Linked DNA regions of Cricetulus griseus. The protein of the gene in region 1 purifies or fractionates together with the protein of each later gene. This does not show direct contact. Links are inferred from orthologs where the notes say so. Each region holds a gene or a part of one and is shown in the gene's direction. Other genes may lie near its edges. The genes, in order: Klc1 and Kif5c.

Evidence for each region.
Region 2: the proteins of Klc1 (region 1) and Kif5c purify together in Homo sapiens (co-immunoprecipitation; 4 studies listed by BioGRID and IntAct, counting the BioPlex papers as one, with this or other methods). This does not show direct contact. The link is inferred for Cricetulus griseus from reciprocal best matches to the Homo sapiens genes KLC1 and KIF5C.

The regions. Positions count from the first base shown.
Region 1 is NC_048598.1:182,278,762-182,283,183, reverse strand, and holds the start of Klc1 (kinesin light chain 1), read left to right. Parts: upstream 1-1,367; 5' UTR 1,368-1,419; coding exon 1,420-1,526; intron 1,527-4,422. UniProt on the Homo sapiens protein: Kinesin is a microtubule-associated force-producing protein that may play a role in organelle transport. The light chain may function in coupling of cargo to the heavy chain or in the modulation of its ATPase activity.
Region 2 is NC_048599.1:124,678,163-124,682,566, reverse strand, and holds the start of Kif5c (kinesin heavy chain), read left to right. Parts: upstream 1-1,507; coding exon 1,508-1,633; intron 1,634-4,404. UniProt on the Homo sapiens protein: Microtubule-associated force-producing protein that may play a role in organelle transport. Has ATPase activity. Involved in synaptic transmission. Mediates dendritic trafficking of mRNAs.

The DNA.
Region 1 (4,422 bases):
TGGTCTCAAACTCACAGAGATCCACCTGCCTCAGCCTCCCTAGTGCTGGAATGAAAGGCATGCGCCACCACTTCCACACCTAGCTAAGTCTTTTCTCCCCCTACAACACAACAGGGATCAACCTGTCTCAGGATTTTCCTGCAGCGTTCTGTGCTGGCTTCGTGGGTCCATTCCTTCGTCTATTTTCGCTGTCAGCACACTTTTCCGACCTTGGGGTTTGGGCTGTGTACCCTTTCCCCGTCACCTGCCTGTTTTTCCGTTTTGGCAAGTCTTGCTGCACCCTCACTGGAATGGCAGACACCATCTGCCACTTTACACACCTGGGTCTTCCCATGAGGACCGTGGGAGCTTAGTGGACTTCAGTTGAAGGGGCAAAAGAACGAGATGCTAAAGCATGAATAAAGTGACGGCAAGAGACAGAAGAAAAAAAAAAAAAGAGGCGTGCGGGTATCCAGGGCTCTGAGGGGGCAGATGGGCGGACGGAAGTGGGCTCCTGCTTAGCCTGTTCTTTCTTTCCTAGGGCACCTGGCCAGGAGCAGGCGTCTTGACTGAACAAGCGGCGACACAACATCCAAGCAGTAGTTTGTGTGCCGGGGCTTTACTTGACCGTGACCCACAGCCTCTCTTTAGGCCAATCTGAGCTGCTGTGTTCTCCACAGGAGCTGTCCCTTATTAACCAGTCTGATTTTTTGTGTTTTTTTTGTTTGTTTGTTTTTTTGGATGTCAAAGTAACTGGATCGGCCGGTTCAGACCGAAAGCACGTGCCTCCCTGATGCTGACAGGTGTCAGTCAGGGCTGCGGAGCACAGCAGGTGCCGGGCGATGCCAGCAGAAACCGAGGCGGGTCCCACGGAGGGGAGGCTGGCGTTGGCAGCCCAGACCCCTCAGTAATGTCCCCGGGCTCCCCGGGGACGTCTGCGGGCACCGGGAGGGCTCCCGAGCCGGTCTAGGCGAGCCGGGCCTGGCCCTGACTCAGCGTGCCCTCCCGCCTGCCGCTGACTCAGGCCTGCAGCTGCGTGCCAGGCGGCTGTGTGCGGCCCGGGAGCCGCCGGAGCCGAGCTGGACAGCTTGCTTGCCCTTCGGCCCAGGCTGGAGGTCGACGGGCGAGCCACCCTGCGCGGCTCGCCCCCGCTCGCCTGGCATCCTTGCCGTCCTCTGTCCCTCGAGGGGCGAGTCTCAGAGGAGCGCGCGGGGGGTGGGGGGGGACCACAGGCTTCTGGAGAGAGCCGGATTGCCGACCCCTTGCCCAGCCGCTCGCCGGCTCGCCCGCCCGCCTCAGTTTCCCCGCAGCCCCGCCCGGCGGCGGGGAGGGCGGGTGACGTCACGGCGCGCGGCATTGTGGGGCGGGCGCGGCGCCGGCGACGCCATTTTCGGCGGCGGAGCGGTGGCGCGAGGCTGCGGAGCGCGGCTCGGGGCGAGGATGCTGCGGGCGCGGCCGCGGAGGCGCTGCTTGCTGCTGAGGCGGCCGGGGCTCTGCGCGGCCTGGGCCCGTGACAGCGCGACGAGCGCGGCGCTCCCGACCGGACGGTGAGTGCGCGGCCCCGTCCCCCCCGCCCCGCCCCGCTCGCTCGCTCGCCCGCTCGCCCGCATCCTCCAGGCCGAGGCTCCCGGGCCTCCCCGTGTTCCCCCCGTGCAGCGCCGTGCAGAGCCGCATCCGCACCCCGCCCTCCCGGGCTGCATCCCGGACTCCTCCCCGCTCCACCCGTGCCCGGTCCGCGCTCCGCTCACCCCGTGCCCGGTCCCCTCCCTGCTCACCCCGTGCCCGGTCCGCGCTCCGCTCACCCCGTGCCCGGTCCCCTCCCTGCTCACCCCGTGCCCGGGTCCCCTCCTCGTTCCGCCCGTGCCCGGGTCCCCTCCTCGCTCCGCCCGTGCCCGGGTCCCCTCCTCGCTCCCGGGTCCCGCTGCCCGTGCCCGTCCCCTCCTCGCTCCGCCCGTGCCCGGGTCCCCTCCCCGCTCACCCCGTGCCCGGTCCCCTCCCTGCTCACCCCGTGCCCGGTCCCCTCCCCGCCCCGCTCACCCCGTGCCCGTCCTCCCGGGTTCCTGTCGCCCCTCCGCTGGCCCCTCTCCAGCTCCCCGAGCTCCTGCAGGACGCGGCCCGTGTCCCCGGCTACCTGCGCCCCTGCTTTGGGCTCCTGCCCTGTCCCTGTCCCTGTCCCTGTCCGCGATCTTTGTCATCTCTCTGCGCCTGTCCCCTCCGCCCCGGACCCTCCAGGCTCGGGGCTCGGTCCTCCCCGCTGCACCTTGGGCTCGGGCCCCTGCCCCTTCCGCCCTCCTCCGCTCCACTCCTGTCCCATCTGTGTTAGGGCCCCGCCCTGACTCAGGCCCCGCGGTGCAGACGTCCTTTTAATGGCAGCTGTGGGCTTAGGGTCCCAAAGCGTTGATGCTGAGGTCCCGGGGAGACGGCGGTGGCGTGTGTCCCGGGTCACCCGGCTGGCTTTGTCTTAGGCCTCCCCGCCCTTCCAGCCCCCACCTCTCCTCGGCACCGCCCTGGGCGGCGTGCTGTCATGCTGTGGTCTGTGGCCAGGGGCCAGCCTGCCTTTTCTTTCAGTGGCCGGGTGTGGAATCTCCCTGGCGACCTGAAGGTGGCCAGCATGGGGTGCTTTTCCTTGTTACATATGGAGCCCCCTCCCATAAAAAAATTAAAGCGTTTAAAAAGTAATACTGGTGTGTGATGGAGTGGATGGCATGACCACGAACTTTGCAGGCCATTTCCAGGTGTATTGTGTTGGAATTGTCACTTTCGGCTACTGTCTTATTATTTAAACAGTTGGAAATTTACATATTAAGTGGTGATCTGGTGTACTTGCAAAAATGATATCTTTAGAGAGGCCAGGGAGGTGGTGGCCAAAACCTTTGAGGCCAGTAGATCTCCAGAGGGAGTTCAGGGCAGCCAGGGCTATACAGAAACACCAGGGGGTGCAGGGAGACTGAGAACAAAAAATTATGTACTATTTAAACTGCTATGTAGAGGGGTAGTTGCATTTTTGATTCTTTGCGTTACTTAAATTCCAAGGCTTTTTATACAGCATGACTAAGCCTCAGATCAGAATTAGCCGGAATGCGTTGTGATGGGACTATGAAAACCCCACTGGGAAACTGGACCAAGCTGGAGTCTCCTAAGCCTGCTACATGGACTGCCCACTAGCCTCAGTTGTAGGAAATTTGACTTACTGTTCTGTGCTCTATGTGTTTGTAACAGTGCAGTGGCACTATTTAAAGAGTTGGTGTTTATGTGGGCCACCTCCAGATCATCCAGCCTTGGCCCTGTGTGGAACCAAGAGGGCTGGAACCTAGTGGTGACCTCCCGACAGCACCTGGCTTGGCAGTGCATTTTATTTATTTATTTATTTATTTATTTATTTATCTATCTATTTATCTTTTGGTGTAGCTTTGGAGGCTGTCCTGGCACTCGATCTGTAGACCAGACTGGTCTCAAACTCACAGAGATCCTCCTGCCTCTGCCTCCTGAGTGCTGGGATTAAAGGCGTGCGCCACCACCGCCCAGCCTTTGGCAGTGCATTTTAAAAGCAATCATCAAGAAGGGAATAACTCTTGCCCCTCCACTCGGGAGGCTGGGGCAGGAGAGCCACCAGTAAAAAGTCTGTCCCTGCTACATATGTCCCTTCTCATATCAACAAAAACAAAGTGTAGACATGCATGGAAGCCAGTCCTGGATTTTTCCAGGTGCAAAGATGGAAGAGCTGAGGTACATACATCTTAAATAATCCATAGTAAATAAAGTCAGGCAGAAGATGTTGCTGGGGGTAGGGTACTAGCCTAACATTGAAAAGGTCCCGTTTCCTCAGTTCGAGAACAAACAAATCAATAGTACTCTCAATTTCAATGTTTCTATTTTTAAAAATTAATACATTCTTGGGACTAGAGAGATGGTTCAGTTGTTAAGAGCAATTACTGTACTTTCAGAGGGACACAGGTTTGGTTCCCAACACCCAGCTTAAGACTGTCTCCAACTCCAGTTCCAGGTAGTCTGGTGCACAGGAAAATTATGCAAGAGTACACATAAATAATAAATCTTTAAAAAATTAAACATTTTAAAGCATGTATTTTTAGGTTGGGAAAAATGAAAATCTCTGGCTGGGCGTTGGTGGCGCACGCCGTTAATCCCAGTACTCAGGAGACAGAGGCAGTTGGATCTCTGTGAGTTCTAGACCAGCCTGGTCTACAAGAGCTAGTTCCAGGACAGCCTCCAAAGCCACAGAGAAACCCTGTCTCGAACCCTTCCCCCCCAAAAAAAGAAAATCTCTGAATGGCCATAAGCAGTCTTTAGACATGATTGACTTAAAACAATTAGCCAGAGAAGTCGGAAGTGACTTAGTTCTTAGTCGAGTGACTATCAGAAATCAGACCATGCAACAGAAATGACTGCTACCATCCTGAAGACTGTCAAATTCAGTGTGGAGTA
Region 2 (4,404 bases), on another chromosome or scaffold:
AGGTAAGTACAGAGACAATACTCCCTCAGGCAGAGACCTAGTAGCCCACCCTTACTCTTGTTTGGTTGTTTAGTACCTTCTTGAATAAATAAGTAAGGCCATTTGTAGTCTAATAAGTTCTCCTTTTACTTCAGTGGCTCTGGTCATGTTCCTATCAACTCTGATAAGGTCCCCAAGCCACTGATGGATGGGAGTAGGTCGGTCTGGCAGAGCAAATGGCCTAAAGAAATATCAGAAAAAAGCAGGACTGTTGAATGAAAGAAGTCTCAAGAATTTGGTACCTGTTAGATTGTAAGCATCAAGATGGGAAGTTACAGGAGAGGAGGGAGCCTAAACATATAGGGATAAATATGATTATGGGGGCCTAGGCCTCTCAAGAACTTTGGATTTGATCTTCTATATATTCTGTTCATTCTGCAGGATTCTAAACAGAATTAAAAATTGATCTATGATTCGTTGTAACTGAACTTTTTTTTTTTTTTTTTTTTTTTTTTTTTGGTCCCAAACTGCCTTCTGAGTGTTGGGATTCCAAGTATGCACCGCCACACTTGGTTGAAAGGTTCCTGACTTGGGACTCAAAAGCCAGTTTCAATGTCCAAGCTCTATAGCAGCATGCTAAATATGTGTGGATTTGTGTTTTGACTTAGTTTTGCAGTGATAAAGTCCTGGACTTTCATCGAATATGAGCTGTTATGAACTACCTATGTATAGGCATTTCCAGGTATAATTGGCTTCCATGCAAATCTCATTTCTTTCCTGTTTTCCTCTTGCAAAAACTACTACGCTGAGAAACACTCTATAGATGTTCAGTTGTACACTGTATTGATGAGTATTTTTTCTTTGGGATCAGGAAAAGATGTGACCTGTATTTTTATAATTTACCGGGGATATTAACTATGACTTCCGTTCAGTTCTTGACTTAGGCAGGCACATCAGTCCTGCAGCTCCCCGGGCGTGGGTGGCAGTGTGTGTGGGGTGTCCTAACAAATAAATCCAAGCATCCTTGCCCTCCCACCTGTAGGTCAGAGTCCGACTACAAATCCCGGAATGCGCCGCGCTCACACCCAGGGTGGGGCGGGCTCTGCAGTGACGTTACCGTACCGAGGCGGGGCAGAGGGGCGGTCCTGGAGGTGCCGGAGCGCCCTGGTGCTGATGCAGGATGGCTGAGTGCGCCGGAGCCCGGGAGGTCTGAGCTGGGAGGGGATCGTTCCCTGCGCATCGCCTCGTCCGCCCGCCGCGTGGTCGCGGGCAGGTGGGCCAGGGCTCAGGACTTGGCTGGAGGTCAGCAGCGGGGTGGGGGGCGGGGGGCAGCTAATAGGCTGCTCTCCTTCCCGGTGGCGGAGCTGCCCGGCTGTCCAGCGCAGGCTCGCCATGACCTGCTGAGAAGCTGCGGGAGGCTGCGGGAGGCGGCCTAGCTGCGGGCAGCGGTTGGTTCGCGGCCTCCTCGGTGGCGCTGCCCAGCCCGGCCCCCCACCCATCCCCGTGTCCCCTCCTGCAGCGTCCCGAGATGGCGGATCCAGCCGAATGCAGCATCAAAGTGATGTGCCGGTTCCGGCCCCTCAACGAAGCGGAGATCCTCCGCGGGGACAAATTCATCCCCAAATTCAAAGGCGACGAGACGGTGGTGATCGGGGTAAGTGGCCTTGGTGTCTCGCCCCTTCATTCGGCTTTGCACCGCAGAAATCTTCCGGACGCCTCCTCGGACATCCCCGCGGGGCTGAGCTCGAGGGTGGACCCGACGACAGCCCTTGGCCGGTGACTCCCTCCTGGCAGTGGTGGCACCGGGCGGCGGGGGCGTGCGAGGGCCGCCATTGTTCGTGGGTGGGGGCTCGGGTGGGCCTATTGTTCCCACGCTCGCCTCCGCGTGGGCAGTGTTTCGGATTGCCCAGCAAGCCGGGATCCCCAGGCCTTGGTCAAAAGTATAAGCTCCACAACCCACAGATGCATCCAGGCTAAGGTTTGTGTGAGACCTTAGCCAAAAAGGTAGGGAGGCAAGGTGCAAGAAAAACAAAATCCTCGCCTGGGCCGTGTATAGCCGGTTTCACCTTGCTCCCCGTGGGGAAGGTGAGGGGTGCTCTTGTTATCCCTGGGAGGTCTCTTTGTCTCTTGCTTCCTATCACCCCAAATTGTCCTAGATTTGTGCTTTGTCTGCTGGATGTCCCCTTCCCCCAGATCCTCTCTTCTGAGTGTCCACACAGTCTGATAGGTTTCGCTCTGGGTGAAGGGGAGACTGTCCAATCTTCGGAGAGAGGGAGTCCCTAAATAGCCCCTCTGTGTCAAGAGCAGAAGTTACTTTAGCATATCTAGGGTCTCCACTTTGATCACCCCCCCCCCAACTTAGCTCTGTCCCTGCAGTCTGGCTGCTGCTGGAACGGGGAGGGAAAACTAATGGCTTATAGTTCTTAATGGAATATACCAAATGAAATAAACTAGTCTTGCCCCCACCCCTTTTCTTAATCTGCTCTCCCTGTAGTGTGTGGCCCACGGTGCCCTCTTTGTATTCGAGCCGCGTGGGAAGGGAGTGAGTTAATGCGAGCCTCTAGGTCCCCACTGATACGTTCCTGGCAGCCAGCTCCAGGCTGCTGATGCAGCCTTCCCGACTCCAGCATTGATTAAGTGATGTCATCTCCATCACTGAGCATGCTCGGACTACCCCCCCCCCCACTCCCCCAGTGATTCCAGTACTGTTGTATTTAGGTCAAGTGATTGACAGGTGACAGTTTTCTGAGAGTGTAGCTAGAGAACACCTAGCCCTTCCCAAGCATGAGGCCTGTGTTTCTCCACCTAGGCTGCCCCCAGCATCTTTGGCAAGGTTGTCTGCTGCAGTCACTGTAAAGGGACTTTGGACAAGGAGGTGCTAGTTGTACTGGTAGGCGGGTATTTTCCTGTGTAGGGGATTAGAGTCCAAGCCTTGGCCTGGGGGCTTCATCTTGAATCTTGCTTAAGAAGGCACTTTTCCCCCCTGCAGAGCATGGCCACTTCCCTCCCGGTTTTCACAGCTAAAGGAAAATGCAGACCTCTGAATGCTGTGTGCATGGGCAGTCACTCATTCTGGTACCTGATCTATGAGAGTAGGAAAGGGATTTTTTTTTTCTTTGCCTAGTGTTAACATGCAGAAAAGAAGTGTGCTACAATTATTGATGAGGAAATTCTATACTTAATGGCATATATAGGCTAGTGATATATTCATGGCAGCCTGGAGCTAGTGTTACAGCTTCTAGCAGGAGATCCATCATAGTCTGATCTGTCTTTCCTGAGTGAGGCGTGGTTCAAGTACAGTGGCAGTTGCTAGGTACTTCTAGTCCCTTCCTCTTGGCTTGTAACAATTTTTAAAGTAACCATTGTTTCAGCTACTGAAAATGTTCTGGTGACCTTGTGTTTTGTTTTGTTTTTCTTCTCCTGATGCTTTAAAGGGCCTGAAGTTCTTCCCATATCTCCTTCTCCTCCCCCACCTTTCTTCTCTTCTACAAGGATCAGTGAAGTAGAGTAATAAATCCTCTTAGTTGTGCAAGCAAAGATTAATTTTAGTACTATTTACTATGAGTCTATGCTTATTCTCTGCCTAAATGTACACATGTAATACTAAGTTAAAGCAACCAGATACAGAAAAATTTTAACAGAAAGTTATGCATGTGAACATACATCCTGCACTTTATTTTTAAGGTTTTTGCTCATCCTACTATATTTGTTTAATGTAATAAATGTCTTTTAAAGATAATTACTGAAACAAAGCATCATATAGAGAAGTGTTATCGATTAGCTTGATGGCTTTTCAAAGTATGGGTTCCCAATAACCATCTTTCAGAGTAAGAAACAGGCATTTTCAGGACCTTAGAGGTTTCTCTGTTGTCACCAGTCCCCCAAGCCCCAGGGGAACCATTATTTTCATTTCAATATCACTTATAAATTTTGCTTGTTTTTCTTTACAGTAGGCTTTCTGTTGCGTTTCTAGCAACTGACATTGCAATGCTATGCTTGTCAAGTTGGTCTTGTTTGCAGTGGTGTTCTACCAGATTAATATACCTAAATGTATTTATTCCTTAGATTTTTTTTTTTAAAAGAGGATCTAGCTTTGTAGCCCAGGCTGGCTTTGACTTCACGATTCCCCTGCTTTAGCCCTCACAATACTGCAATTATAGGTGTGTGCCACCAAGCCCTGTAGCTGTTGGGACATAGCTGGCCTGCTTCCATTCGGGGCTAGCTTGTGTGGTGAACATTGCTTTGTGCATCTTTTGGTTCATGAGCATATAGAACAGACCAGTCTCAGATGCTGATTTGTGTTGCCTTGGCCTTAAGACCTTTCCCATTCCTAATTATTAATGTAGGTGTAAATTCAGTCTGGCAGTGTATATGACTCAGACATACATAGAAATGGCCTCAGTGGGTACATGGTGAGGATGCCCA